Struthio camelus: one gene and its partner. The protein of the gene in region 1 purifies or fractionates together with the protein of each later gene. This does not show direct contact. Links are inferred from orthologs where the notes say so. Each region holds a gene or a part of one and is shown on either strand. Other genes may lie near its edges.

Region 1 (15,503 bases):
TCGGGGCCAAGGAACGCCTCTCCTCGCGGCACGCAGCGGGCTTACGGGGGAGAGCCGGAGGAGCGCGTCCTCAGCGCGCAGGTCAGCTGCTCTGACTCACCCCGCGCCCCAGGAGCGGCGCTTTGAAACCAAGGAGGCTACGAGTGAAGGCAGGGTCAGTCAGAACCGAACTCGCCTGAACTCCACCAAATTATACCCGCTGCAGACCCAGGCCAGCCAGCAAATGGGTCCCATGCTAGAGTTTTAAAAAGGCCTGCGAATATCACATCCAGGACCAAGAGGTGAGAGCACTCTGGAGGCAGGAGACAACCCCTCCCCAGCACAGCTCCCCAAAGAAGGCATGCCCAGCGGCCATTTTGCAAAGGGAATTATCTGACCGTTTCACCAAAAGTGAGTGGGAACATGGTAACTGCTCATCACAGCGCGTTTGTTTACAGCTGAGCTTCCTCTGAGTCATGTGAGTGCCAAACCGGCAGGAGACGGCTGTTTGTACTTGTGCAACTCGCCAAACGGTGGCAAAGTTCTGCGAAATGCCTTTTCAAAGGGAAGCAACTTTTGTCACCCGTTCCCGGCTCTTTTACAACACGCACAGAGGTGGCGGAAGCTGATTTTACCAGTCTCAGAGGGCTACTGTCAAGTTGTATTAGTAAACAAAAAAGGCAGCGCGTTACACACGGGCCGCGTCCACCATGAACCGAGATCCCTTTAAGCAGAACGTGCCATTAAACAAATAGGTGTACGGCGGGCAGCTGGGCACGGGCGGGCGGGAGCGTCTGCTCGGCTTTCCGCATGTCCCCACGCCCCCACCCGCTCGCTCCTCGGACACGGCCCGCTCGGCTTTGAACGCCAGCTTCCCATTTAGCATCTGGAAATCTCGTAACTGCACACGGATTGCATAGCAATGAACTGCCTCTAGGTCTGCTCCATCTGACAGTCGTCACGTTAGGGAACGAGCGCCGAATAACGTCTCCGAGGCCTGCTGGCGACGCTTTGAAAGACCAGGGCTGCACGGCGTGCTGAGCAAGAGGTGCCCTAGCCGCACAGACAAACACCAGCCGAATCTCTTGCTCCCCGTACTGACTCAGACCTCCTTCTGCATCACAGAAACGGGCACTTCAATTCTAAAGGTGCCATTAGCGTCAAATCCATCAGCTCCAGACTACGGAGCTGCTGGGGCTGCGGGAGGGGGGGGGGAAATCCTGTTTAGAAAGGGCTTTGCTTGCTACAGCCGCCGCACTCCCCGCTTTGCTCCCAACGCTTTAGCTGCAGGGGTCTGCGTGGAGGCGAAGCCGCGGCGCGCCCCCCGCCTGCGAGCCCAACCCCACGCGCGACGCTCGCTGCCACCGACGTCGCGGAGGATCCTGCTTTTGAGCAAGAGGGAAAAAGACATCCGGGGCGAGGAGAGCTTTGACCTACAAAGTCTCCTCTCCCACAGCTGCCTAAGCATTCAGACCCTCAGAGGCAGGGGACGTGGGAAAGGCTACGGCGGGGCTCCCCAGCCCACAGCCGCTCCGCGCGGCGGGGATGCGGGGCTCAGCACCCCCGAGCGCAGCACCCACGGGCCCACCTGCGTGTCACAGCGGAGCGGGGCTCGCCTCGTGGGGCGCCCCCCCACGCACGCCGGGGCACCCCCACCGCGGCGGAGGAGCTGCTCCCCCCCCCCGCCCCAGGCGGAGCACGACCCCGCGCTAGCGCAGCCCACGCGCGGGCCGGCCGCGCACGTCCCGGCGCCCACGGCCGCCCACGGGGGTGGGGGTGGGGGTGGGGGCAGCGCCGCGCCCCGCCGCCCCCGCGGAGGGAGGGCAGGGCAGGGCAGGGGCGGGGCGGCCCTCCCCGGGCCCCGCCTGAGGCGGGCCGCGCCCGCGGCTCCGAGCCGGGGGGGGCGGGGGGTGAAGGGAGGGGGGCGGCAGCCGCGGCCCCGGCGCGCACGGCGGCGGCCTCACCTCGAACTGCCAGTGGGCCGCCTGCAGGAGCTGCTTGGCCTGGTCGGCGGCGCAGCCCGCCGTCAGCACGAACTGGTTGATCATCACCTGGTGCTTGAGCTCGTCCATGGTCCCGGCCGGGCCCCGCCGCGCTCGCCGCTCCCCCCTCCCCCCCCCAAACCCCTCACGGCGCCGCCACCATCGCGGAGCCGGCGCGGCTCACGCCAATGTTTACTGGGCACTGACTCACGGCGCCCGGCGAGCCCCGCCGACGGCCGCGCGGGGCGGGGCGGGGCGGCGCCGCGCCGCCGCCGCCCCTGGGAGCTGTAGTTCTCGCCCGCCCCCCCGCCCGCGCCGCCCCCCCACGCCGCCGCCGCAGGGACTACGACTCCCGGCAGCCCTCGCTTTGTTTGCATTTCGGCGTCAGAGGCCGACGCGTCCTGAGTGACTCGCCAAGAGGACCAATCGCCGCCAGCGGTGTGGTAGTACCTGACCATATATGGTCAACAACGCTGCTGCCCCCAATGAACGGGAGGTGGGGGCGGGCCCGGCTGGGGCGGGGCCGGTCACGTGGCCGCGCGGGGGGGGCGCGGAGGGGGCTCGCGGTGTTTACAGTCGGCCGCGTGCGGTTTCCTGTTGACGTGCGGGGAGCGGCCGCGGGGAGCGCCAGGGCTGGAGCGCGCGCGCGTGCGCGGGGCGGGCGGCGGGTTGGGGGGGGGGGGTGTAACGGTCGCGCGCTTCCCCCAACGGCTTCTCTCCCCCCCTTCAACGGTCGCGCTGTGGGCGCGGGGGGCGCCGCCGCCGCCGCCCTTTGGCCCCGGCGGCTGCCCGGCCCCCGGGTAATGTTTAACCGGGCGGCGGCGGGAGGGGCTCCTGGGGCTCCTCTGGTGGCTGGGGGTTGCTGCGGGCTGACCGGGGCCGGGCCGAGCCTCAGGCCCTGGCAGAGCCCCCTCAGTGCCTTGGCACCGCGGCAGGCTGCGGGGTGGCACGCCCGGGGGACGAGGCTGCTGCGGCCGCGCTGAGCGGAGCGGGAGGTCTCTGGGGATGCAGGTGCTTTGGGCAGGCTCCGCGTCCCAGGGCCAGGCCCAGGGCTCCTGCGTGCTCCCGTGCTAGCAACAAATAAAAAATGGGGAGTTGCATAAGCCATCTGCAGGCTTGCTTCCATTTCTCCCTTTGCTGAAGCACGTTCCTGTGCTATTTGCATAATTGCCAAGATGTGAAACAAGAGGCTGCAGTGGGGGAATGTTCTGGAAGGTGCCGGGGGCTCCTGGTGACATGAAAGGCTCTTTTGAGAGCTGGGCATTACCATAGCAGAAGAAAGCACGCAGCCAGGCAGGCACTGCTGGGCTGCTCTGCTGTACTGGCGAGGGACAATGGTGTTGCTAAGTACCAGGAAACGATAAGCAGGCATGGACATTCGGATCGAAAGGCTGGGAGATAATAAAGCAAGGGAAAAAACAGCAAGCGGAGCGAAACGAAGAAAACAGTCCCGGCTTTGCAGGGCTTGCGAAGGCCCCGGAGCCTCCACCTTTCCTGAATGATCCTAGGCTCTTTTCCTGCAATTTGTGTTCATGTTTTGGGCTTAGCCTCGGAACAAGCAGTCTGTTCTCTAACGCCTCTCTCGCTCGCCTGCGTTTCGCATACGGCTGCAAGTATTTCTGAGTCATAAGGATTAATGACTGGAGCTCAAGCAGGTCGGACGTTTGATCTGAGTGATTTGCTGTCTCCACTGCTCGCATACAACTTGCCTCAGTAGGGTGCAAAACTGACCACAGGTAACTAACTGTCTTCCATGTGTCCTTCAGTAACGATGCAAAGTGCTCCAGGCTGTAGTGGATCCCGGTGGTCACCGGGATTTGTCCTCCTTGTATGTATGCCACTGCCCAAATCAGTGAGGCCGCATCTGTGCAGTGGCAGTAGCAGGACATGTCAAGAGGTGGCTGGTGTTTTTTATAAGGTCAAGACAATCCCAAGAGGAAAGCAGTAAGAGGGGATCTGTAGCCAGCAAGGTGTTAATGTAGCTGGGAAAACAAACCTCCCGGAAGATGGTTTGAATTCAAGAAAAACAGATGTTTTTAGAAGCCTTCCCGTTTGATTTTGAAGGGGGAAGGGTTGGCCCCAGCCCAGCAGGGCTTTCGGGGAGGGTTCCAAGCCCTTTGGAGCAGGGCAGCGTTTAAGGAGGCAAAGTTCATGGGCTCGCCACTCCTTCTGGTCAGAAATAGCTTCATGCATGGTCTCCAGAGCTCCTGAACCTTGTTGTTCTGCAAGTACCTGACAAAGAACGGGAGTGACAGCACCGGGGAGGGGGCAGTGGAGACAAAGCGAGTTGCTTTACTGGATAATAAACCTAGGAGCAGCTGGACTTTGGATGAGCTGCTCTGATGAGTGGAAGATTTGAAGGCAAACATATTTCCTTGTGTACACGGGCATGCTTGTAACTGCCTTCCCTGGCAGAGGCTTCCAAGGAGGTTTCTGAAGGGCAATTCTGTGTTAGCTGGAGAAACATGTTAACAGTGGTAGGGTGAGTGCCCCTCCTGTCTTTCTGCCTCTTTATCAGGCTGAAGCTCTGTGCAGTGACTCCTGGGTTACGCTCTGGTAATTGAAGTCCAACTTCAGAGCTCCCCTTGCTCTATGTTTTGCAGGACAGAAGCGATCTACTGGAGAGCAGCTGCATCTGGGAAACAGCGACATAAACTCTCAGTGACAGTGAGTGTACAAACGGAGACAGCGGAGAGACCTGAGAGCCAGCAAGGGAGATGGGCTCACGGCTGAAGGATCCTTCCTCTCTACTGCTGCTCCTCTGCCCAGCCTCTCCAAATCAAGCTGGTGACTGGCTCCAGGCTCAGCTTTTCCGGAATGAATTTTACCCAGAATGGAACGTGGGCGAGCTGTGACCCCAGAGATGGCCAGGAGAGCAGAGGCCTCCTCACGCCCTCTTGAAACGCAGGAGGGTCCCTGGGGTTTCAGGCTTCCTCATACGTTTTGTGTTGGGAGTGTTTTCATCTGTTTTAGGGGTGTCAGAGGGCTTCCCACCTGCGTGACCTTTCTCCCTCTCCATCGTCAGCATTGCTCTGCGTAGGTGTCCTGGAGCACAGCGCAGGGCCCAGGGCTGGCAGCACGGAGCTGGGGCTTTCAGCGGAGCCACTGAGCCTGGAGGCGAGGGTGCCATTGCTGCGGCTGCAGCACGGGCGCTGAGAGGGAAGAGCCGGCTCCCACCCGTGAGCTGCAGGACCTGCCTATCCAGTCATTCGGGCACTGTGGCCTAGTGCAGACAGCAGCAGGTGGGGAACCCAAGCAGCTACGGGTGGGCCTGGGCCTCAGTTTCTCCACCTGCAGTACGAGCCCAGTGCTCCTGGCCTTCGCTCAGCACCTTGAGCTCTGCCTGTGCCACAGGCCATGATCCCAGTGCCAGCTGAGCCCCGGGCCATGCAGAGCTGCAGTTGTGCTGCCGCTCTGTCCCCCACGCACTGTTGGGTGGGAGGAAGGCTAGCGGCTCGGGGCCTTGCCGTGCTGCGCCGTAGCTGCTCCGGCCCCGAGTCGTTCCCTTTCCTTCCCCCGTGCTGTTCACAGTGGCTCCTGCGAAGGAATTGAGGCAAGTGGTGCAATATCCTGCCTTTGTGTGTGCTAGCGCCTGGCGTCCCCTGGGCCTGGCAGGGATAAAGGCCCTGCTGTCAGCTGGAGGTGCTGCCCTTCAGCTCCGGCGCTCGCGGGCGCTGGGGTTTGGAGCGGAAGGGCCGGGCCCGTCCCTGGCGTGCCATTGCTATTGTAGTTGTCTGTCACACGCGTCTCGCTAAGCAGAGGCCTTGGGGAGATATTCTTCAGCAAAGGCCCCTACCCTCTCAGATGACAACCCTCGAGGGGCCCCACCACTTCCTCAGAGCTCTGGAGAGCTGCGCCGAGCCCCGCGGGCACCTTCCTGCTGGTAGAGACTTTGCGCGGAACAAAAGCCTCCCGTTGCGGCCGCTTCCCCACGCGGCCCCGATGCCAGGCCTGCGCCAGGGCCCCGCGCCGCAGTGCTGAGCTCCCCGGTGCCTGCAGCGCGCTGCCTGCCGGGACACCGGTCTCCCCTGGGCTTGGAGGCCCTGCTTAACCTGTGCGGCGCTGGGTTCCCCAGCGAGCAGCACGTGCTGCCCTGGGACGGTGCTCCCTGGAGGCACCGCTGGCACCCCTCTTCCCCCTTGCTCCGGTTGACAAGCGGTTGCCAGCCAGGCGCAGGGAGATGTTCCCCTCTGCTGAGCCTTGCTGGGCTGCGTGGAGCCCAGAGGCAGCTGCTGGTGTGCGGGGTGAGGTGGCTTTGGGGGATTTCTGGGTGATTACCGGGGTCTGGGGCTGCCCGTGGCACTGCTAGCTGTTTGAATCAGACCTGCCGCTGCCAGGGCTCTGCCAGGGCTCTCGTTCCCCCCACTGCGGGGCGTCCCTGTGAGTTCCCTGTGCAGGCAGGGAGCAGCCAGGACGTGCTTCTGGGCAGCCCGTGTGGGCCGGACGTGGCTTTGCAGTTCAAAAAACTCCATTCCTCCCTCTTCCTGCAATGTCTGTTGTGAGAAACTCTCGCAAGGAGAGGCTGGTTGGGAAAGAGGGACCGACCCTCCGGACGCCAGCAGGCAGCCTGCGGGATACTGTGGGCAGCGCCCAGACACAAGTTATTGCCAAGGCACCATCTGGCCCCAGCAGAGCTGGGGTCCCCCCGTGAGCCAGGTGCTGTATGTGTCTAGTAATAAATAGCTCTTACTGCAGGGACGGGGAGGCAAGTTCCTGGTCTGCTACTGCAACAGCCAACTAAAGCGTTCAGCCCTCCTCCAAACGCAAAAGGTGTCCCCAGCTCCTGCGGTTAGAAGGAAAGCAGGTGAATAGTGCAGAGGAGGAGAGAGAAGAGGCTGGGACATGCAGCTGCAGACCGACTGTCCCCATTAGTCCTGGGTGATCCCAGGCTCGGTGCGAGGCCCAGTGTACGGGGCCTGGGCTGAGCCCTGCTCCACCGTGCTGACAAAGGGGTGCGTTTCTCCGTGAGCCAGATCAGGCTGCGGCTTTCATGGCTGGGATGAGCTGCTCTCACTCCTGCTCGCCCTGGCCGCTGCCGCTGAGGGCGGCACTCAGCAGCGTTCCTCAGCTGGTAAATGGGGTAGGACGGAAACAGGCCCGAAACAAAGGCAACAAGTCCCCGCTTACCCAGCTCTTGCAGTTTGCAGGTAGGATGTGGGCATTTCTAGTTCCCTGGCTTTTCCCCTCGGTCGCCTTAAACCTGTGACAGAGTCCTGCTCAGCTGCGGAGCTTCCCTGTTGCAGCTGGGCTCCTATCTCACCTATTTACAGGTCAAGGGGGGGCAGCTGACTGGTTGCGTGGAGGCTGGAGTCGATGTAGCCCACTGCTGTGGGAATAAATACAAGGCTAGTTCTTCCTGTGGTGCCACTCGCCCTTCAGACCTAGCGTGGGGCTTGCAAATGGCACTGGCTAGTTTCACAGGGCTCCGGGGTGGATCATTAACAGTGCAGTGTGGTGCCATGGGGAAAAATCAGATTTCAGGTACATTGAGAATTTGAAGCGTCTCCTGTGTGATTCTCAGCTGTGCCCAGGAATGGTCAATAGTCCCTGCCTAATTTCTGGGCCTGATGGGAGCCAGGATTCCCTAGGAGAAGATGTGAGGACGGAGTGAGTGCTAACAGCATGCAACACATCTGCATGTAAAACGATGCTCCCAGGGATATACCAGTTGGGTACAGCAAGGTCTGATTCTGCTTTATTCTCACCCCGAGCATTTGTTCCCATCCGCAGCTCCGTGTGCTGTGTGTGCTCCCACCAGCATGAAGCTGCTGTGCTCAGAGCAGCCGCACCTTCAAGGGTGATAACTAACTGGAAGCAAATTTCCACCTAGGGCTTGTTTGCTTGTTCCCGCCAGGTGCGTTTTAGTTTGTATTTACAGCCAACGTGTCCCACCCGCCGCCTTATCAGTCGCTATCACAAAATCCTCCTGCGCCATCAGGCTCGGCTTGCTGCAACATCTTGTCTTCCCAGCATCCTCAGGCCCCCTGGCCTGAGGCCAGTTTAAGCAATAAGTCAAACATGCCTGTGGTCCTGTTTCGCATCTCAGCTCCTTTGCATCTCTTGGGGATCTCGGGCTCCAAAGCTGGGAATCTGGGTCCCCAGATGGGTGTTGTTGGTTTGTCCATAGTGTGTGTGCAGGAAGATAGCTTCCTTAACAAGATAAGTCTGGGGTGCTCTTCCCTGGGCCTCTTCAAGGTCTTGGCACTGGAGGGGACAGGGCTCTGCATTGGGATGCTGCTGGCATCTTGTTATGCTTCTTCTTCCATCCTGTAGGCCTGGCCCTTATGTCATTAATGCAAGGGACCCTTCAGTCCTTGGCTGCCGTATGAGTGCTCACACGTCTGGATCTCGGACACCTCCTCTCACCCTCCTGTGTGATTCTCTGTGAGAGGACGAACCCTGGGAGTTACCGTGGGTGCCACAACAGCCTCCCCCATGGGGCTACCTCTGCTGTTCCCCCCACCCCATGTCCTGCCTGTGCTGTGCTGGCTCACCCCAGGCACCCGTCCCCACAGGGACCGCACGGGGGGTGCTGCACCCATCCCAGCAGGGCTCCAGCACGGCCCTGTTGCCCACAGCTCATGGCTTGGACAGCGGGCGATGGTGACGGCTGGCTGCTCAGGGCAGCGTTGCGTGCATCATAAGGCGCTGGTGGTTTCCCAAAGGCGAGCAAGGCCCTGGAGACAACGGCAGGACATGGCTGGGCGGAGAGCGGGCACGGCTTGGTGCTGAGGCCCGGAGGGCTGGCGGGCTTCATCTGATCACTGCCCTGCAGCTGGCAGGCACCATGCAAGGTGCATCCCGGTGCGTCCTCTCCGTGCATCCTGCTGCCCGGTGCCCGCGGTGCCGCCGCCCCGGGCTGCCGCTCGGGCCGCGGCAGCGCCCTCTGCCGGCAGAGGCGCGCGCGGCGCCCCGGGAGAGCCCATGGGGGCGCGCATCGCTGCCCCCCCCCGCGGCGCCGCTGTTGGTAGGCGCCGCCGCGGTGCCTGCCGGGAGTTGTAGTCTCGGGGCGGGCGGCCGCCGTACGCCGCGGGGCGGGCGGACTCGCTCTCCCGGCCTGCCCCGCGCCGCCGCTGCCAACGCCGCCGCCGCCGCCGCCGCGGGTGCGGGCCGCTCGCCGCTGCCGCGCTTCTCTCGGTCGCCGGCGCGCCCGCCCTGCCCGCGGCCGCCATGGGCTCCCTGCTCAGCCGGCGCATCGCGGGCGTGGAGGACATCGACATCCAGGCCAACTCGGCCTACCGCTACCCGCCCAAGTCCGGTGAGGGCGGCGGGCCGCCGCGGGGGGGGGGGGGGAGCTTCGCCGGGCCCGGCCGGCCGGGGCCGCGCTGCCGGAGCGGGGGAAGCGCTGCCCGAGGCGGCGGCGGGGGCGCTCGGCCGTGCGCGTCACCGCGGCCGGGGCCCGGGCCGGGGCCGGCTCTGCGCGGGGCCTGGCGGCGCCGCTCGCTTGGCCCCCCCGGGCCTCGCTCCGCCTTTGCCGCCTGGCACCCGCGATGCAACGGGCTAGCGAGGCAGTTGGCGTGAGGCTCAGGCTCCTCCTCTGAGGCTCGGTGCCCTGACTGCCTCGAGGGTGACGGCCTGGCCGCGGCCGGCAAAGCTTTGGGCTCCCGAAGGGGCGTCCGAGGCATCGGCCTGTCCCTGGGCCCGGCTGCCGGTCCGCGGCGACCCGCCGGCCTGCAGGGGCCCCGGCTGCTGGGGGAGGGGACCCACAGCCGCGTTCAGCGGGGGCTTGGGAGCGGAGTCGGGCCCGGTGGGAGGTGGGACGGAGCGGCCCGTGCGCAGCCGCCTCCTTTAGCCCTTTAAAGCGTCGTTCTCCCCTCGGAGCCGCTGGGCTCATGTGGCCTACGTGCGTGCTTGTTTTCCAAAGGGATGAGTTCTGAAAACTTAGGAGATTTGTCGGCAGTGACGCTTCTGCGGAACTAGGACGGGCTTGTGACTCACCTTGCCTTAGACTGGCTGTTGAGATTGGCCTGGTTCCACTTGTTTAAAGGGTTTTATTTATTTTCCTCATTAAATAAGCCATCAGAGAATGCAGATGCTCTTACCTCCTAATTCACGAACAAAACTTTCCAAGTTTATGTTCTGCTAGGGCTTTTCCAGGCAAACTGAAAGAATTTGTAGAGCACCAGTCTGTTGAGTCTCCTCATACCCAGGAACAGGCGCAACATAGCTTTTTTTTCCTCTTGAGTTACGCATGTGTCCGAGGACTTCCTGGCTGTAAAGTCTTCTAAGCTGTGTGATGGAGGGCACCAGGTCCTCACTTTTTGTCTGGAAGGCGTGGAAGGTCTCAGGAGGAGTCCTGTGATCGTTACACCTTGTCTTGTTGCAGGTTTGCCTTCAGCAAGGACAATGATGTGGAGGAGATGGAAGGGAGGAAACTTTTCCAAAAGTTCTTCCTCTGTGCTGGCACTCTGTTAGAAAATCTAACCTGCTTTTTTGGCAGGGGGATAAGAGACAAATTTCGTGGACTGCTAGGAAAGACGCATGTCCCTGCTAGGAACACAGCAGCTAGATACCCCGTGTCTCTGCATGGCTCTTGGCTGGCTGGTGGACTTGCCCTGTGGAGGTGACTGGGTGGACGTAAGCTGGCTGCTAAGTTGTACCTGCTGTATCATGGCGCTCTGCTAGCAATTTTCTGTACTGTTGTAATTACCTTGACTACAATTTCAAGGTGTGTTAGGTTAGGGCAAATGTACTTTTATGTACTAGTCAAGGTAAACCCTTCATAGGCTTGAGGTCTGGTTTGTATGTTCACGTTCACTGCAGAAGGGCTCTGTTGACCTAGATGCTGCCAAAGAGCATTCCAGTTATGGTGCTTGTGAAAGTGAACAGCTAACGCTTTGAAGCTCTTAATAAAAAGAAAAAAAAAAAGCAGAACATTTGCTTTATAGGCTTTGGATGCAATTAGATGCTTATTAATTTGGCTGAACTTTCTATTGCACTTGCCTGTTTTGGGTTAGAACTTTCTCTTGGCTTTCTTCAAGTTTATCTAATAAGGATTCAGTTGACTCCAGGAAGGGAGAAGACTATTTAAGCTCAAGCACCATCTTGGCAGAAGAATAGGTCATGAATGCTTTTAAGATGATGTTCAGTAACCTTCTTTGAATTATCAGAACAGTAAGGGTTGTTATAATGGCAAAAAAACCCTGTCTTTTTAAAGTGGATCTTGTTCAATTTACAAAGGACGTTGTCCCTTCTGGTCCTACAGTCCTAAGCACGTTTGACTTGGGTCTAGAAAGATTGCATACAAATCTGTGACTCGCGCAAAACCTGACAACTGGAAGTCAAGAAGACCAGAAGTGAGTGTGTGATTATATTTCACGAAGCAAGCTGGGAAGAAGTACACAAAGTTCTTAGGCTAAAAGATTGCTAACTATTTCTAACTCGACAACGTTCCTATAAGCCTAATACTGCTACTCACTGCCTTACTAGAAGAAGCTGTTTTTTTCCATCGGCTGGTTTTTGTGCTTGGGTATACGGATATAGAAGTACACAGTGAAGTCTTACTCTGACACACGGGCTGTGTCCTGGCCGCTCAGCGATTGCCCGTTAAAAGGGTGGAAGTGTGGGTGAAGGAGTGTTACCTGAGGCTACGTGCCTGCTGGAGTCTCGCGCAGCACTGAAGGCCGTCTGCCACCTTGTGCGTTCTGTCCCCTCTGAGATCGTGGTTTAAGCAGATCTTGATTTACTGTGGATCCCTGGGAAAGCTGCTGCAGCTCTGATCGGGTGCCGTCTGTTATCCAGATCGCTTTGAAGGGCAGAGTCTTGCATTCTGGAACAAGTATGCCACCTTCCAAGGACATTGTGTCCTGCACAGAAATAAACACAACTTGCAGGTAATCACTGCAGGTAAACACAGCTTGCAGGTAATCACTTGCAGGTAAATCACTGACTGTGATTTAAGCAATATGTCGGCCTTCCCATAAAAAGAAATAGTTACTTACCAGGTCGTACCAAGGGACAGCACCTTGTTGAGTCGCAGCTGGCTGCGATGAATATTCAGTTCTCACTTATTGATTTTGGCTGTGGTTATTGCTGTGGCAGTCATGTGCTCTGTGGAAGATGGAGCAGACTGTTGTGGAATCTACCTTGGCCTTATGAGCCAAGGTTATTAGTTAGGTGTTGGCAGGTCATTTAACAGCTTTGTTGCAACCAGGGTGCAGTTTTGTAGTTAAGAAACCTTCCCTGAAAATGCCCTGCTTATTCCCCCAAGAGTCAGGGTGTGGGTCAGCAGCGTTTCTCCTGCAGCATGGCAGGGATGAGGCTGCTGAAACGCTGTAAGGTGACACCCAAACCTCTCCTTTAATCCCGCTTCACTGGTACCTTTTAACCTTCCTTGTTTGCTTCGGGGAGACTGTGCTAGTATTGCTGATGCCAGACCAGTTGGAAGAGGGTTGGAGGAGGGCCCAGTTTGTCTTGTCAGTTTGTACAGAAGAAATAGTGCTTCCACAAAATGGGCTAAAAATGGGTAATCACAAGGAACAGTCATGATCTTCCCTGTGCTTCTGTGCTTGAAGCAGTAAAACAATAATCCGTGTTCTTGCATGCAGGCTCAGCGCATGATGCCCCTATTGCTTTAGCAACCAGTGAGCAATGCACCAGTGTTTTCCGCAGCTCCTTTGTCAGCTTGTCTCTTGTTCTAGTGAGCTCATCTGCAGTGTGGAGCGGGGCAGGGTGCACATGCCCTTGAGATGACTTTTCTCCTCTGGAGTAGGTTCTTGCTGGAGAATTGCAGACCTTGGCCATATTTAGGAGAAAAAAAAAAGGTTGGAGTACTCCTCTCTGATAATGAACTGCTTTTTTGTTTGTTCTTGTTAGGGAATGATGCTGTAATCAAAGAAAGAACAATTTTAAATAGGAGAAGAGTACCCCTAGTTGTACCTAGTCTCTCGTCTTGTCCTGTTCTGATGTCTCTCAGCTCACGTTGCAACAGAAATACTTCCCTGTATTTCCCAGGTAGCCCTCGTTCCTCACCCACCGTGCAAAGCACAGTGGAGCTGTGACTCCATGACTCCTGCTGTGGTTCTGTAGGGACGTCAGCCCAACCCTGCTGGTGATAGCCACTGCCACCTGCTATTGACTGGTCCCTTCTGTTCCTGTCTTCTCTCAGCTTCTCCACAAGCACCTGGCCTGGGTCAAAAGCAATGTTTTTTTTTTTTTACTGTTTTTTACTGGATTATATTTAACCCAGCTCAGAGTCACGTTCCAGTTTGCCATGTGATCCCTCTTGGTGGCACCACGGGGAGGGGGTGAGGAAGGGATGCCTCTTCCAGCTGCAGAGCTAGCTCAGGTTCAGACTGAACAGGTTCAGGCTGCTTCTAGGACCGATCTGCCAGTCTGTCCCTTGGCACGTGGAATTGGTGGTGGTGGGTATCCGGCCAGTAGTGTGTGATCTGTCACTGTGTCGCCACAACCTGTGAGAGGGCAGGAGGGAAGAGTGGAAAGAGTGCAGGGGAGAAGTGAGAGGAGGGTTCCTAACCTGGATGCTTACGGGAGCTGGTTAGGCTGTTCCCAAGCATTGACTTAACTCACCTTAATAACAGCTGTGCAGGGTGGTGGTTTTGTTGTTGTTGTTTTTCCCCTCCTTATTTTGGCAGTTTAGCCTCTTCTTCCTGTTGACCTACAAAACTGTCTTTTCTACTCACTGGTGTTCAGCAGAAGGTTTTGCTTTCTGACAGTGGTCAAAAACTTGTAGCTGCCTGTGAGTTCTGTGTTCCTGGCTGCTGTAGGTCCTCCCCGCAGTGTGTCACTCTTCCATCGTGACTGTGCGTTAGGCTTGCACGCTACAGGATTAGGCCAGTGGGTTAGGAATAGGTTGGGGTCACGTGGTTACAATCGATGGATGTTGGGAGAGTGGGGGGAGTCAAGCGCTCCATGCCGGCACAGAAATGTGTCTCCTGCTCACTAAACCTTACGCGCAGCAAGGACAAGAGTCGGAGTACTCAGCTAGGTTCACTCTTGACTGATACTTTTGCTTTTTGAGAATGGAGAAGTAATTAGGACTGCAGCAGTGTGCTTGGTGCCTGATGCTAGTGTATTTATTATAAGAAAACCCACCCCTGTCTTAGGCTATATATAGTAGTGTGATCCATATCATTTGATGCTTTGAAGAAGACTCGGATTCCAGTTTTGTTTGTGAGAGACAAACTAATAAGTCAGACTTTGCCATTCCGGATGTTCCAGTGGTGTTTTTCCAGCAACTGTGAAGTTTTCCACCGCAACGGTGTCCTGTTGCATCTACCACTTGTCCTTCAGTTACCTTCAGCAGTGTCACCCGTTCTTATTCTCTTTTATTTAATGGCCTCCTGTGTTTCATGCTGATTTGCTCTGGGGTGTAAAGTTAAAGGCAAAGACCTAGTTAAAGGACACGGTTTCTCTTTGCTCTAGCTTTTGTTTTCATGTTCTCTCCTTCGTTGTTTGTGTACGATCATTTCTTCATGAGTGTCTGTGCGTTCTCATCTCAGGTGATTTCTGTTTGTGCCAGTTCTGTATATGGTTAATTAAGACTTCTGCTTTTCTTTTCTCTTCTTTTTTCCTTTTTCCTGCCAAGGAGAAATGTGCTTAGCTTCCCTACTGCATTCACAGTTACGGAGCTCTGTGTAAAAGTTGGTCTTGCGACACCTGCATAAGGTAGGTCAGGGATGTTTTATAGACTGGCAAGATGTGTGGGAATGAGGTTCAGGAGCCATGGTAGTGTGGGTGAGAGCCTAAAGCGATGTTGGTAACGGAGATGGAAAGAGTCTACCGATGGAGCTGCAGCAGGATTTTAATGCGTGGAGAGGTTGTCTATGCAAGCCGCCTGGGCGTACTACAAATCCTATTGGTCTTACGCTAGATGCGTAGAAACAAGACAACGTGGCAACTGAATTTGAAAAGAGAGGAAACCTCGTTTGTTCCTCTTGAGCCTTCTCTTTCCTTGTAGTCCTCAGTGTGATAATTACAGAAGTGCTTTCTTCTTAAAGAGTTTTGTCTCCGCTTTGGACAAATGCTCAAAGTTGCTTGCGACAGTGGTTGAGAGGAGTACCGCATAACTTTGGTCTGATATTGAGAGCTCTAAATTTAATGCGTCATTCTAGCAGCCACCTTCCGAAAGCTTGCGGTGGAGCGTCTTCTCTTAACTGCTGCAGGCTGTATCGTGAGTTTGTCGAGGCAGGTTGCTGCAGTTCTTGTTTGTTAGCTGTGCTGTTGAGACCTTGTGTTCCCAGCAGTTGTTTCTGTAGCAGCCCTGGCAGAGCCCTGGGGTGTGCTACGCTCCAGCGTATTCCCCTCTGAGCTCCTAGGAGCGATTTGCCCTGTGCTCTTTGTGACTTGCACGGACTGCATTTCGCGTTTGGAAGGCATGCCTCGTAACAAGCACTTCATGCCTGGTCGGGTGAGCTCTTAACTCCAGCAGCAGGCCCAAGGCAAAGCGAAGGATGTGGCGTTTGGCATGAGCGGTGGTTGTCCCGTGGTTTGCTTGTCTCTGGCTGTCGGTGTTTTCTTAGGCCATTTTAAAGGGAAAGGCCAAGTGCAAAACATGAATTCATGTTCTGGCTTGGAATTTCT
Region 2 (13,977 bases), on another chromosome or scaffold:
GCCATGGCGCGTGAGAGGAAAAAGACTTGTATCTCTAGAGCTGTGTAAAAGTTACCCCCTGCAATTTCTCTCCAAAGTAGACCCTCTGAGCTATATTGCATGTGGTTTTCAATACTGGCTTAACCCTTTGAGGGCAGTCTTATGGGCAGACTGGCATCCTGAGGTCATCAGAATGACCAATAAAAGCTAGGGTGTTTGTTAAGTTTTCTCGTAATCCTGGTACCTTATAAACAGTTGTGTGGACTCAAAATTGCTTTCTCAGTTGTGGGAAGACCAAGCCAAGCCAGAGGCTGGAAAGTAACTTACTCCAGTAAGCAAGAAATCCCACTCAACCTACAGGTCAGCCGTGTTGAGGTCACTCTGCATGTCTTCATGTCTTACTAAATCTATCCCTTTGGTCCTGCAGAGTCACCGGAATTTGTCCCAGCTCCCCAATTTTGCCTTCTCCGTTCCGCTGGCCTATTTCTTTCTGAGCCAGCAGGAGGAGCGCTCGGAGCTGGAGCTAAGCCAAGCCCGGGAGAGAGCTGCCCGGCTTATCCAGCTCGCGCTGATCATGTTCCCAAGCGGTAAGTCTGTCCACACCGGTAGGTCTGTCCCCACAGGCTTTGTCACTGTCTTCACCTGAAAAAGCAAATGATGGATTCCAGGCAGTCGAAAACAGAAGCAACAGTTTGCCCGTGGGTTGCAAACGGTGTCTGCCACGGTCCATGCGAGACAGGAGCCCGGGCTCAGAGGGGCAAAAGAAGTCATACAGATCAGCAGTGACAGGTACTGCTGTAAGAGTCCAAGCAGTACCTACAGCCTGCTGTGGACAGTGGTGGGGTTCGGCCTTTCTGCCCTGCACCTTGGCAGGGCCAGAGGGAGTGAGCAGTGGAATCAGATAGGGCTGACACAGCCATGAGTCTGCTGTGTGTTAGGAAGAGGTCAGGAGCTGTTCTCTCTGCCGTTCACCCTCCAGTCAGAGCAGCTGATGGCCCTTCACTATAGATAGTCACAGGCACGCGAGTTGGTGGAGGGTGAGAACTGGCATTTTGGAGCAGGAAAATGTTTTACCCCAGGGTTCCTCAGAGCAGAGACAGCAAGTCTCTCTCAGCTCTCCCTCCAGGGCACTGCTATGCTTCAGATGTGGTCTGTATGGGCACCCATCACTCTTGCTTTTATCCAGTTAGGGCTCTTGTCCCTGAAAGGAGATATGTAGCCCTCCAGGCCCAGAGGGGACACAGAGTGCCAGGGAGGCTGTGTCTTTATAGGCAGGAACAACCAGCTTTTGAACAGAGCTTTAGTTTGTGTTGTCTGAAACCGTCTTTTTTTTTGCTGCTTGTCATGGTGACTGAAATAAAACCCTTGTTCAAGATCAAAGGCCAGCAGCATTACAATTGCACCTTATTTCACTAGAAAAAGTTTGTTGGTGTTTTTCTTTCCTTCTTTTGGATCCGTTTCCGTCATCCACACAGAGAATAAAACACAGCATAAACTCCAGCTGTGAAGCTGGCAGCATCCTTCTTTGTATTGGTTCTCATTCAGCACCCCCAACCTGTTGGGAGACCAGCCCTCCCTGGATGGAGGCCTGTCTCTCTGCAGCCCTGGCAGGGTTGCCTGGCTGCTTCCATGGCACTTCTCGGCAGTCTGTTGAAAATGAGCTATGTGACTTTGTCCTGCAGTTCTTATGCCGTTGTTGGATCACTGCAGTGTGCAGGCAGATGCCAGGGTCACATCCCATTCCTTTTTTGGGCTGAACGCTCAGATAAGGTAAGAGCTGGAGATGTTCTTATTAAATAGAAGGAATCGATTCTTCTGGCAGTGGGGCTCTTGCTTGCTCAGGCAGTTAATAGAGTTATAAGCTGCGGAGGAGACTATCTACCCTTTCTGAATAGGGCATGCCGAGCAGCTATCAGATGCTTTGATAATGGATTCCCATAAAAGCTACCAGATAAGTCTAATAGACCTGCCTCACCTTAATGTAGATGGGTCAGAAGTTCATACTGTAGCTTGTTGGTACATGTAGTAACAGAACAATGTGTGCATGCTTTTGGGGCAGGCTGTCTCCTGCCAGTCTGGGTTTCCCTGACACGTGGTCATGTAAACACATGAATGGTCTCCCCCTCGGGTAAAGGCAGTAGAACTTTCATCTCATGGCTGTGCTTGTCCCAAAAACAGACGGATGCAGAAAAACTGGTGAAGGTAGATGTAAATAGCAAAGCTAGGAGCCTGTGATTCCTCTTTTCATATTCTCACACTGAAGCACAGTCCAGAGTCGAGCCCTTTCCAGACAACACAGGTACCTGCAGGCAGGAGGAAGGAAGGGGCCCTGCATAATAACTGTCTCCTATAGCCAGCCTCCTGCCTTGAACCAGCTGACAACCCTCTACGTGGGAAGGACTCACTCCCTGTGGAAGGACCCTGCTGTCATGGCTTGGCTGGAGACAAATGTCCATGAGGTGTTATGCAAGGTGGATGCCAGGGACCCGCTGGTGGAGGAGTGCGAGCAAAAGTGAGTGTGGTAGACAGAAGAACAGCTCTTGTACCAGACATGGGTGCAGAAAACTGGGACAGACCAGGCTGGGGAGGTAGTCAGACTAGAGAGAAGTTCTCTCCTGGGCAGCAGTGACTTTGGCACTGGCTCAGAGCCTCAAAGCTGAGGGTTAAGCTGTGGGGCCAGGAAGGCAGAGGCTCCCTTCTTCCTGGCTTTGCACAAAGGTGAATTAAGAGCTGTAGCTCCTGCTCGTGGGGGAACGTGCGCCGCGCTAGCTTCCTCCAGCCTCAGCTGTTGCATGTGCCTCGGAAGCAGTGCGGAGAGGACGAAAGGGTTGCCGCTGGCTGGGAGCGGCAGGTGATGACTGCACTGGCTCAAAGGCATTTAGTGCACAGGGCAGGCAAGTGCTTAGAACAACTTCCAGCTCTGAGAAGCTGGAGAGGGAGGCATTAAGTGTTGTCCTGAACTGAAATTAGTTTGCTCTGCTGACCTGCAGAAAGGTGGTGAGAGAATCTGCAGTGTCTCTGAGCCTTTCTGCTCTTTCATCTAGAGGTCAGCAGCCGCTCAGCAACTTTGGCTTTGCCTTAGACCAGCTCTCTCCAACGTGGCAAGTCCCAGCAGAACTAGGGATGAAGCTGACATTGCACACAGAGAAGCAGAAATGAAAACCTTGTTGTGCTGAGGTGTTCTGTGCGATCTCTCAGCAGAAATCCTCTGTCTCCTCTCCCTGCCTTAGGAGGAAGATGCGATACCAGAGTGCACCCAGGAATATCTACCGGCATGTGATCCTCTCAGAGATGAAGGAAGCCACGGCAGCTCTGCCTTTGGTGAGGGGCCTTAAGGCAGCACAGATGGCGTTGCTGTGTGCGGTGTGATGGCACTTGCATCCCTGTTATGCGTGCAAATGCTGGGCATGTCTTAAAACACAGCCGCTGGAGGGGTCCCAGAGGGGACACACAGAGAGGTCATTTTGCCAGGCTTAACACAGCACACAGCAGCACAACCTTCACCTCTTCCTTTTCTCCCCTCTCCAGGAGGTGACATCGCAGCCTGTAATGGGGTTTGACCCCTTACCTCCCTTGGACTCTGTCATTTCCTACACCAGACCAGAAAGGTACCTTTTCCATTCCTTGTTTCTGCACCGGCACAGCTAACGTTTTCCCAACATGCGTGCCTCAGTGCTCGGCGCTCGGAGCTGTCGTCGTCCGTGTAAGAGCCTGGCATATGGCTCTTGCTGACAGGCAAATTGTACAGGCAGAACTTGTCCTACTGCTTTTGTTTATGCCTGGTGGTCACCTTCGGAGACAGCAGCTATTCACAGCCATTAAGACAAAGGCTGTTGAAAAATGTTGGTTGGCATTAGCATCTCTTAAATGAGGTGGTTTGGAATAATACAGATTTAATCACTGCCAGCCACAGTGTGCAAAGACTGTTTGGGTGAAGCTGGTACACGTCTTACACACACTGACCCTGCTTGGAGGAAACCTAGTAGCGCCTTTAATGACTGCTTTGCCCAGATGCTGGCCAGCTGCTGGCTGCCTGGGGCAAGCAAATCCCCATGAAACCCCCAGCCTTGCTTTGGGGAAGCCCACCCGGCTGGGCTGGCTTGGGGAGGTGCTGTGCGTTGGCACTGACGGCGTGGTCCTCTCTAGCTTCTCCGCACTGTCTTAGCCCAAATGAGTACAGAAAGGTCAAATACCAAGCTACCCCCTTAACAGAGTTGTGTGACTTTTCTCTTTCAGAATGAATCATCCATCCAATGAAAGCACTTTATCGCTCTTCTTCCGATCACTGTTGCCAAATTTTAACTTACAGGTATGTGCAGTCAGCTGCTGCTGGCAAACTTGAGCACGCTTCTGCTTTCAATACAGAGAGAAGTATCTACTGCACAGTGTTTCTGCAAAGGGAGTGGCTCTTGGCATGTGCAGTTCATAAACGTCGGGTTGCAGAACAGTCTGAGTCTTCCTGGCAGGCAACATTGCTTTTTTTCCCTGTTTGCTGCAGACAGGCAGCTCCGCAGCTGGTTACTCTAGCTCTGCTCTTTTGCAGGGGGACATCAGGCACGATGGAGATGAAGAGGCTGGAGCAGGGCAGGACCTTAACCAGGGGGTGAACAGGCTCATGGCAGCCATGCGGGACATGCTGGCAAACATCCAGTTTCAGGAGCCCCCACGAGACGACAATCCCGAAGGCGATGCGGACTGGGACTGAGCTGAGAGAGTGCATCTTCCACCATAACACTGTGTAATCACACCCCTGACTTGTGTCGCACTCCAATAAAGTCACACAAACCAGAGGGGCTTGCTTTTTGTGGTCTTTCCTGGTGCAGGGAAAGAGCTCTGTCTGGTGGAGGCTGCCGCTGTAGGCTCTTGACTTTTCACATCTCTCAGTGCAGGGCCAGGAACCGCCTTAAAATGGCGGAGCTAATCTATAACATCCCTCCCCCCAGAGTGGAGGGACGCTTAATGGCTGTAGTCTTTTTTGCCCTCTTCCTTCTGGCCATTTTTGCTTTTCGCCACTTCCTTCAGGCTGAAGGTTCCTTCCCTCCCTGAAACACCCCAGCCCTCACGAGGGTTACAGCTTGTCAAAGCACAGGCTCAGCGGTCGCTGTGGCATTGCTGTCCCCTCAGGGCCTCGGGGTGCAAACGGGCCAGGGCGCTGCTTGAACTCCGGCCAGCATAAAGCAACAGGCTGCATTCAAGTACGTGGCACCCCAGCACCCTGGGTGCTGCAGGTCTCCCTGCGCGTCTCACCCAGGTGTGTAGGGAGCAGCTCTTGTTTGTGATGCAGCTGTTTGATCATGCTGGGAGCAGAAAGGATGTCCCCTGCCCCCCCCCCCCTTTTTTTTTCTCTTTCCCCTATTTTGCTGCTTTTGAGCAGGGCACAAAACGATGCAAAGCCAGGAATGAGGTCAGCTGTAATAACACTCTGGCAGACAGCAACTATGAGCAAAAGCTTTTCTATTTCTGCTGTGTAACGGTATATGTGGCTGCCTAATGCTGAGCCAGGCTGTGCTGTCCAGAAAAATCCTCCCGCTCTGGTGCAGTGCCTGCTCCAGCCGCTGTCTGTGCTGCGTCTGCTTCTGGGAGCAGCCTGGCTCATAAAGCGGCAGTCTGAGTAGTGGCCATGAGGCACCCCACGCAGGGTGGGTGGGTTTCCGCAGCGCTGGGGCTGGTGGGGAAGGCTGCCCTGAGCCTCGCGGTCTGTGCTGGGGGCTCAGTCCTGCCTCCTGGCACGTCCCAGGCAGGAGAGCGAACGGGGCTCTGTCCCGTGGGGAGGAGCGCCCTTTCTGCTCCCTGGTCCTGTGCTGCTGCTCTTGGCTCAGTTCGTGCTCTCTGAAGTTGCAGACTGGGCATTTTATGGCTTTGCACTCAAAAGCTCTGTTGATAAAGCTGAAATTCATTGCACGAATCGGTGCACTGGTTAGCTGGGCAGCAGCCAAGAAGGGAAGACAGTGCCTGTTGGTCTGGCCTCCTCGTGTGCAGGTTTCCCTGCCAGCCTGGGCTGTTTGCTCCCTAAGGAGACCTACTGGTGGGAGGTGTTGGGGACACCATCTTCGCAGGGGGCTGGTGCTGAGCACAGCTGGACTCCCCTCAGCACCTGGGGCGCCTCGGAGAGCCGGGCTCAGCTGCCTGGGCTCATGCTTGCGGGCTTCCCTCTCCTCAGCATTGCCGTGGAGGGGGAGCAGGTCTCGGAGCTGGCCTTGCCCCTGCGGCCGCGGGTGCGAAGGTGGCTCTAGCCGGGCAGCGGCTGCCGCCTCCAGCAGCCCGGCGGCAGGGTGAGCGCGCACCGGCCCGGGCTCAACGGGCAGCTCTTGTCCCCAGAGCACTAGACACAATTCCTGATCCATCCCTGCCGCGCTGACTTAGGAGCCGCTCGGGGTGAGGACGGGCCCTTCCCCGTGCGGTCGCCCGGCCTGCACAGAGGTGCTTTCATCAGCGGCGGGGCCGCCCCGAGCAGGGGCCCTCGGCAGCCTGAGGGAAGCAGCCGGAAGCGGCCGGTGGGAATGGCAGCGGGACCGGCCTTCTCATGCTGATGTGACCGGCTCTTTGGCAGCTGCGCAGCTCTAGGCATCAACACGGAGCAGAAGGCACATGACGGTCAGATGGGCCCCGCGCCTCCCCAGCCCGCCGCGGCGCTGGCGGGGGGAGCCGAGGCCCCTGCGCGGCTCCGGGGCCGGCTGCTCCGAGCGGCGCCGGGCGGCTCTGCAGGCAGCGACCGGGGAGCCGGCCAGGGCCCGGGACTCTGTTTAGTCCGTTCACTGGCTGGGCTTGGCGTTTGCGAGGCACCGTGGTGCATCTCGTCCCCCTGCCCGGAGCAGCTTCTGGTGCCCCGTGTCGGCTGCGTGCGGAGCCGGGCCGGCCGTGGTGGGGATGCTCCAGCAGCACTGGGGTGGTGGGACCAGCAGCCGGTTTCTTCTCCCAGAGAAAATGGAGCCTTTGAAGATCCCTATTAGACCCTGTCACCTGCCCCGCGGCGCGCCACCCGCCTTCCCCGCGTGCTGCTGTGGCCACTGGTGCCCTTGCTGGAGCCCTGGGGCCTGCGAGCACCCCAGCAGGGCTGAGGCGGTGCTCCGCAGCCCCAGGGACGTCGTGGCGGTCTGCAGGGGCCAGACCGACCGCAGCTGGCTCTGCGGTGGGATGTGGCTCCGAGCAAACCCAGAGCCGTGGGCAAGCTCTGCCCTTTGCACCGGACTGGGAGGAGCCGCTCTGCTCCTGCAGCGGGAGGCCGCACGGCCCCCTGGGCTCCCCGGGGTGCACGGACTCCCCAGGGCACACCAGTCCCCCAGGGCACAGGGGTGCATGGGGACCCCAGGGTGCACGGGAGACCCCAGGGTGCATGGGATCTGCTCAAGGTGCATAGGAGACCCCAGGGTGCACGGGAGACTCCAGGGTGCACAGGAGACCCCAGGGTGCATAGGGGACCCTCAAGGTGCATAGGGGACCCCAGGGTGCACGGGAGACCTCAGGGTGCATGGGAGACCCCAGGGTGTACAGGCAACCTCAGGGTGCATAGGGGACCCCAGGGTGCACAGGAGACCCCAGGATGCATGGGGATCCCAGGATGCATGGGATCCCCTCAGGGTGCCTAGGGGACCCCAGGGTGCACAGGAAGCCCCCCGGCCCCCCAGGATCGCAGGGCGCACAGGACAGCACTGTGGGTCCGGCAGCCACAGGCTCCGCGCGGCTGCCCTCACTGCTGGGGTGCAGAGCTGTCATGTGCGTGCCCACCCTCCACGGAGGAGGGGCTGAGGGAGCCGGCTTTAAAATAGGGCAGAGAAAGGGTCCTTTCTTCCCCATAACTCCCGCTAATCCACCACTGTGGACCAGGGAGGAGCGTGGCTGCAAGGGGAGCCGGGGAAGCCTGGGGACGTGAGCGGCTGCAGAAACCAGGGGTGCGGAGCGGCCACCAGGCGAGCGGGCCACCTCTGGCACCGCGTGCCCATCGGGACCCCGGGGCGGCAGGAGGCGCGAGTGTCGCTTCCCTCTGCCCAAAGCCGTCGCAGGAGAGGCGCCCGCGGGGCCTGTGCCTCGCGCCGGGGTCGAGGGCGCGCGCGGGCCGGTGGCGGGCGCGATGTCGACGCTGGCCCCGCTGCGCCTGCTCCGCGAGCCCTGGAACGCCAGCGAGGGCAACCAGAGCAACGCCACGGCCGGGGCCGGCGGTGCCGGCTGCCAGGGGCTCGACATCCCCAATGAGCTCTTCCTCACGCTGGGCCTGGTGAGCCTGGTGGAGAACGTGCTGGTGGTCGCCGCCATCCTCAAGAACAGGAACCTGCACTCGCCCATGTACTACTTCATCTGCTGCCTGGCCGTCTCCGACATGCTGGTGAGCGTCAGCAACCTGGTGGAGACGCTCTTCATGCTGCTCATGGAGCACGGCGTGCTGGTGATCCGCGCCACCATCGTCCGCCACATGGACAATGTCATCGACATGCTCATCTGCAGCTCCGTCGTGTCCTCCCTCTCCTTCCTGGGGGTCATCGCTGTGGACCGCTACATCACCATCTTCTACGCCCTGCGCTACCACAGCATCATGACGCTGCAGCGGGCCGTGGTCACCATAGCCAGCGTCTGGCTGGCCAGCACTGTCTCCAGCACCATCTTCATCACCTACTACCGCAGCAACGCCATCCTCCTCTGCCTCATCGGCTTCTTCCTCTTCATGCTGGTGCTCATGCTGGTGCTCTACATCCACATGTTCACCCTGGCCCGCCACCACCTCCGCAGCATCTCCAGCCAGCAGAAGAAACCCACTGTCTACCGCACCAGCAGCCTCAAGGGTGCTGTGACCCTCACCATCCTGCTGGGTGTCTTCTTCATCTGCTGGGGGCCCTTCTTCTTCCACCTCATCCTCATCGTCACCTGCCCCACCAACCCCTTCTGCACGTGCTTCTTCAGCTACTTCAACCTCTTCCTCATCCTCATCATTTGCAACTCTGTGGTGGACCCCCTCATCTACGCCTTCCGGAGCCGGGAGCTCCGGCGGACGCTGCGGGAGGTGGTGCTGTGCTCCTGGTAGCGAGCGGGACGCGGGCTGCGCGCAGGTAACGGCACGGCCCGGCGGGGACGGGCTGCGGGGCCCGGCCCCCCCCGGCCCGGCCCAGGCTGCGCCCAGTGCCGCGGGGGCCCCGCGCCGCCCGGCCGCGCGGTACCACCCAGCTGAATAAAGGCTCTTTGCATTGATGCTGTGGCTGGCACCGCGCCGTGCGCAGCCCCGCTGCCGCCCCTCGCCCGGCCCTGCGGCCCCCCGGCTTTGTGGGGCGGGGAGGGGGGGGCAGCAGGTCCAGCACCTGCCTGCTCTGGGGACTGGGATGGACTGGGAGCCGCTGGGGGCAGGCGTGCGTGCCGACGGCGGAGCCGGCGTCTCCCCAGCCCCGATGACGGATCCGTGGGGCGGCCGCCGCGTGTCGCTGCTCGGCTGCCGCATCCCCGTGCGCCCGGGCACCGGCAGCAGCCGTGGGGCTGCTCTGCATGGGGCAGCGGGGTGAGGCCACGGCGCTCAGCACCCCCCCCCGCAGCGGGCGCTGGGGGGCTGCAGCCCCCCGGGCTCCTCGCCGGGCCCAGGCGTCCTCGGCCGCCGCCGCACAAAGGGAGGCCCCTCGCCGCCGCCAGCCTTTGTTGCGGCACCGCCGCCGTGGCTCCCCGCGTCCCCCCGCTGCCCCGGCTGGGGGGTCCTGCAGGGCTGCGGCTGTGTTGGGAGCCCTGGGTGTCCGGGGGGGGGATGCCCCCCATCTCCCCCCGTGGTGTGGGGCGGGATCCCCCCCCGTGGGGTCCCGGCCCCTCCCCACGTCTGCAGGGGGGTCCCAGCCCCCCCCCAGTATGTGGGTGGTGTCTGGGTCTCCCTTTCTCTCCCCCCCCCTCCACGCCGGGATGTCCCCGCTCCCCCCACTCCGGGCGTGCAGGTGGGCTCTGTCCCTGCCGTGGGTGTCCCCCAGCCCCACGGGTGTCCGGGCCGGGGCCCCCTCCCCTCCCCCACACCGCAGGGAGCTGGGCTGGGGTCTGCCCCTCCCCCACAACGAGTGTCTGCGGGTGACACCCCCCCCGTGGGTGCGGGTGGGGGTGGGGGGTGTCCACGAGCGCCGGGTCCCCCCTGCCGCCGCCGGGCTGGGCCGGGCCGGGCCGGGACAATCCCAGCCGGGCCGGGCCGGGCCGATCCGTTCCCGGCCGTGCCGAGCCGATCCGTGCCGGGTCATCCGGGCCCATCCATTGCTGGCCGATCCGTGCCGGCCGGTCCGGACCGATTCGGTCCGGTTCGGTCCGGTCCTTGCCGTGTCGAGCCGTGCCGGTCCGGTTCGGTCCGGTCCGTGCCGTGTGCCGTGCCGGTCCGGTCCGTGTGCCGGTCCGGTCCGTGTGCCGGTCCGGTCCGGGGCGGGGCGGGGCGGGCGCGGTGCTGCAGGGATGCTGCAGCGCGCTGCGGCGGCGGCGGCCGCCGATTGGCTGCGGCGCGGGGGTGACGTCAGCGGCCGGCCCGGTGCGGCGCGCGGCGCCTATAAAGGCGGCGGCGGCGGCGGTGCCGCCCCCCGCGCTGCCGGTACCGCTCCGCGCCCGCCCGCCCGTCCCGGCCCGACCATGAGGGAGATCGTCCACATCCAGGCGGGCCAGTGCGGCAACCAGATCGGGGCCAAGGTAACGCCCGCCACCGGGCACCGCCACCGGGCACCGGCACCGGGCGCTGCGCCGGCCCCGCCCCGGCTCTGCGGAGGGCAGCGGCGGACAAAGGCTCCCCCCCTCCCCCCTCCCCGCCCCGCCGCACCGGGCAGAACAAAGGGCCCCGCCCCGCTCCTTTGTCCGCCGCGGCGCGGGGGAGGGGAGGGCGGGGGCCGCCGCCTGCCGCAGCCCCGCCGCCGCCACCGGGTACCGGGCACCGGGCGGCGCCCCCGGTCCCGGCCCGGCCGGCGAGCACGAAGGCGGCGGCGGCGGCGGTGTGGCCGGGGCGGTGCCGGTGCCGCCGGGGCCGCCGCGAGCGGCGCTTCAGCACCGCGGCCAGCGCCCACCCGCCCCGAGGCGGCGGGGAGGGGCCGGGGGCGCTGTCCCCGGTGCTCGGGGTGACACCGCCACCCCCCCCCCACCCAGCCCGGACCTCCCCGGTTCTCCCGGGGTGACCCCCCCCCGGGGGTGACACTGCCACCTCCCCCACCCCAGACCTCCCGGGGTGACCCCCCCCCGGGGGTGACACTGCCACCTCCCCCACCCCAGACCTCCCGGGGTGACCCCCCCCCGGGGGTGACACTGCCACCTCCCCCACCCCAGACCTCCCGGGGTGACCCCCCCCGGGGGTGCCACTGCCACCCCACCCCAGACCTCCCGGGGTGACCCCCCCCGGGGGTGCCACTGCCACCCCCACCCCGGACCTCCCCGGTTCTCCTGGGGTGACCCCCCCCCCGGGGGTACCACTGCCACCCCCCTCCACCCCGAACCTCCCCGGTTCTCCCGGGGTGACCCCCCCCCCGGGGGTACCACTGCCACCCCCCTCCACCCCAGACCTCCCGGGGTGACCCCTCCCGAGTGACACTGCCACCCCCCCCACCCCGGACCTCCCCGTTCTCCTGGGGTGACCCCCCCCCCCCCGGGTACCACTGCCACCCCCCTCCACCCCAGACCTCCCGGGGTGACCCCCCCCCGGGGGTGACACCACCAACCCCCCCCACCCTGGACCTCCCTGTTCCCCCCCCTGGGGTGACACTGCCACCCCCCTGGATCTCCCTGTTCTCCTGGCATGACCCCCCCCATCCCCCTGGTCCCCTGGGGGTGACACTGCCACCCCCCCTGGACCTCCTGATTTTCCTGGTGTGATCCCCCACCTCCCCCAGTCCCCCGAGGTAACACTGCTAGCCCCCCCCGGACCTCCCTGTTCTCCTGGTGTGGCCCCCCCCCCGGGGTGACACTGCCACCCCTGCCAGACCTCCTGGTTTTCCCGTCGTGACTCCCCCCCCACACACCCCTCTCAGTCCTCAGGGTGACACCATCACCCCCCCAGGCCTCCCTGTTCTCCTGATGTGACCCCCCCGGTGCTCAGGGTGACACTGCCACCCCCCCGGACCTCCTGGTTCTCCTGATGTGACCCCCCCCCACCTCCCCTGGTCCCCTGGGGTGTGGCACTCCCAGTACTGGGTCTCCCCCCCACCACGATGCAGAGCCTGCCCCCCCCCGTGCCAGGCCCCCAGGGTGCTCTCCTGCCTCTGTGGCACCCTTGGGTCCTGTCCTGCCCCCCCCCATGGTGCAGAGGCCCCCTCCCCCCCCCGCAAAGGGTAGGATCACCCCTGGGTCCTGTCCTGTCCCCCCCCCCCCAACGGTGCAGAGACCCCCTGCCATGCTGGCACCAGGCACCCCGAGCTGGGGCTGTGCCCCATTGCTGGGGGACACTGCCCCCGAGCGCTGCCCCCTCTGACCCCCCCCCCGTGCCCCCCCAGTTCTGGGAGGTGATCAGCGATGAGCACGGCATAGACCCCAGCGGCAACTACGTGGGCGACTCGGACCTGCAGCTGGAGCGCATCAGCGTCTACTACAATGAGGCCTCCTGTAAGCCCCCGGCGGCGGCGGGCTGGGCAGGGAGGGCGGCGGGGGGTCCCCGGGTGGGGGTCCCCACGGTGCGGTGGGCTCGGGGGCGCAGGGAGGGGGCGGCGGGTCACTCGGCGTCTCTCCGCAGCTCACAAGTATGTGCCTCGCGCCATCCTGGTGGACCTGGAGCCGGGGACGATGGACAGCGTGCGCTCGGGCGCCTTCGGACACCTCTTCCGACCCGACAACTTCATTTTCGGTACGTCCCCCGCGCTAGCACCGGCCGGACCCCAGATGGCTCCCACACCCCATCCTGTGGCGACGCTGGGGTGCCCGGAGCCGTCTCTGGCTGCGTCTCCCCCGCGGCCCCGGCATGCCGGCAGCTCCCTGCCAAGCCTTTGCGGCTTCTACTTCCCACCCCACCCCACCCCTCCGCGCCCAGCTCCAGGCGCCTCTCACCAGCCTCAGATCTCCCTGTCGGATCCCCGGTTGGGTTGGGGCTGCATGCAACCTGCCGTGGGCGCCCACGCGGCCCCGGGCGCTCCGCAGAGACGGGGGGGCTGGAGCGCAGCCAGCACGGCTCGTCTTCTCCCGCAGGCCAGAGCGGGGCCGGGAACAACTGGGCGAAGGGGCACTACACAGAGGGGGCCGAGCTGGTGGACTCCGTCCTGGACGTGGTGCGGAAGGAGTGCGAGAACTGCGACTGCCTGCAGGGCTTCCAGCTGACCCACTCGCTGGGTGGTGGCACCGGCTCGGGCATGGGCACCCTGCTCATCAGCAAGGTGCGCGAGGAGTACCCTGACCGCATCATGAACACTTTCAGCGTGGTACCCTCGCCCAAGGTCTCGGACACGGTGGTGGAGCCCTACAACGCCACGCTCTCCATCCACCAGCTGGTGGAGAACACGGATGAGACCTACTGCATCGACAACGAGGCGCTCTACGACATCTGCTTCCGCACTCTCAAGCTGGCCACTCCCACCTACGGCGACCTCAACCACCTCGTCTCAGCCACAATGAGCGGCGTCACCACCTCCCTCCGCTTCCCCGGGCAGCTCAATGCCGACCTCCGGAAGCTGGCAGTCAACATGGTGCCCTTCCCACGCCTCCACTTCTTCATGCCTGGCTTTGCCCCACTGACAGCCCGCGGCAGCCAGCAGTACCGGGCCCTCACTGTCCCTGAGCTCACCCAGCAGATGTTTGATGCCAAGAACATGATGGCAGCCTGTGACCCCCGCCACGGGCGCTACCTCACCGTGGCCACAGTCTTCCGGGGCCGCATGTCCATGAAGGAGGTGGATGAGCAGATGTTGGCCATCCAGAGCAAGAACAGCTCCTACTTCGTTGAGTGGATCCCCAACAACGTCAAGGTGGCTGTGTGCGACATCCCACCCCGGGGGCTGAAGATGTCCTCCACCTTCATCGGCAACAGCACAGCCATCCAGGAGCTCTTCAAGCGCATCTCGGAGCAGTTCACAGCCATGTTTCGCCGCAAGGCCTTCCTTC

Evidence for each region.
Region 2: the proteins of MGRN1 (region 1) and MC1R purify together in Homo sapiens (affinity purification with western blotting; 3 studies listed by BioGRID). This does not show direct contact. The link is inferred for Struthio camelus from reciprocal best matches to the Homo sapiens genes MGRN1 and MC1R.

What each region holds. Positions count from the first base shown.
Region 1 is NC_090956.1:18,748,853-18,764,355, forward strand, and holds the start of MGRN1 (E3 ubiquitin-protein ligase MGRN1), read left to right. Parts: upstream 1-9,042; 5' UTR 9,043-9,131; coding exon 9,132-9,219; intron 9,220-15,503. Other genes in the region: UBALD1 (UBA-like domain-containing protein 1), read right to left, coding at 1,944-2,051. UniProt on the Homo sapiens protein: E3 ubiquitin-protein ligase. Mediates monoubiquitination at multiple sites of TSG101 in the presence of UBE2D1, but not of UBE2G1, nor UBE2H. Plays a role in the regulation of endosome-to-lysosome trafficking.
Region 2 is NC_090951.1:1,774,802-1,788,778, reverse strand, and holds MC1R (melanocyte-stimulating hormone receptor), read left to right. Parts: upstream 1-8,047; coding exon 8,048-8,992; downstream 8,993-13,977. Other genes in the region: ribosome quality control complex subunit TCF25, read left to right, coding at 407-566, 1,662-1,749, 2,333-2,491, 3,210-3,300, 3,508-3,587, 4,216-4,288, 4,523-4,684; TUBB3 (tubulin beta-3 chain), read left to right, coding at 10,372-10,599, 12,384-12,492, 12,620-12,730, 13,069-13,977. UniProt on the Homo sapiens protein: Receptor for MSH (alpha, beta and gamma) and ACTH. The activity of this receptor is mediated by G proteins which activate adenylate cyclase.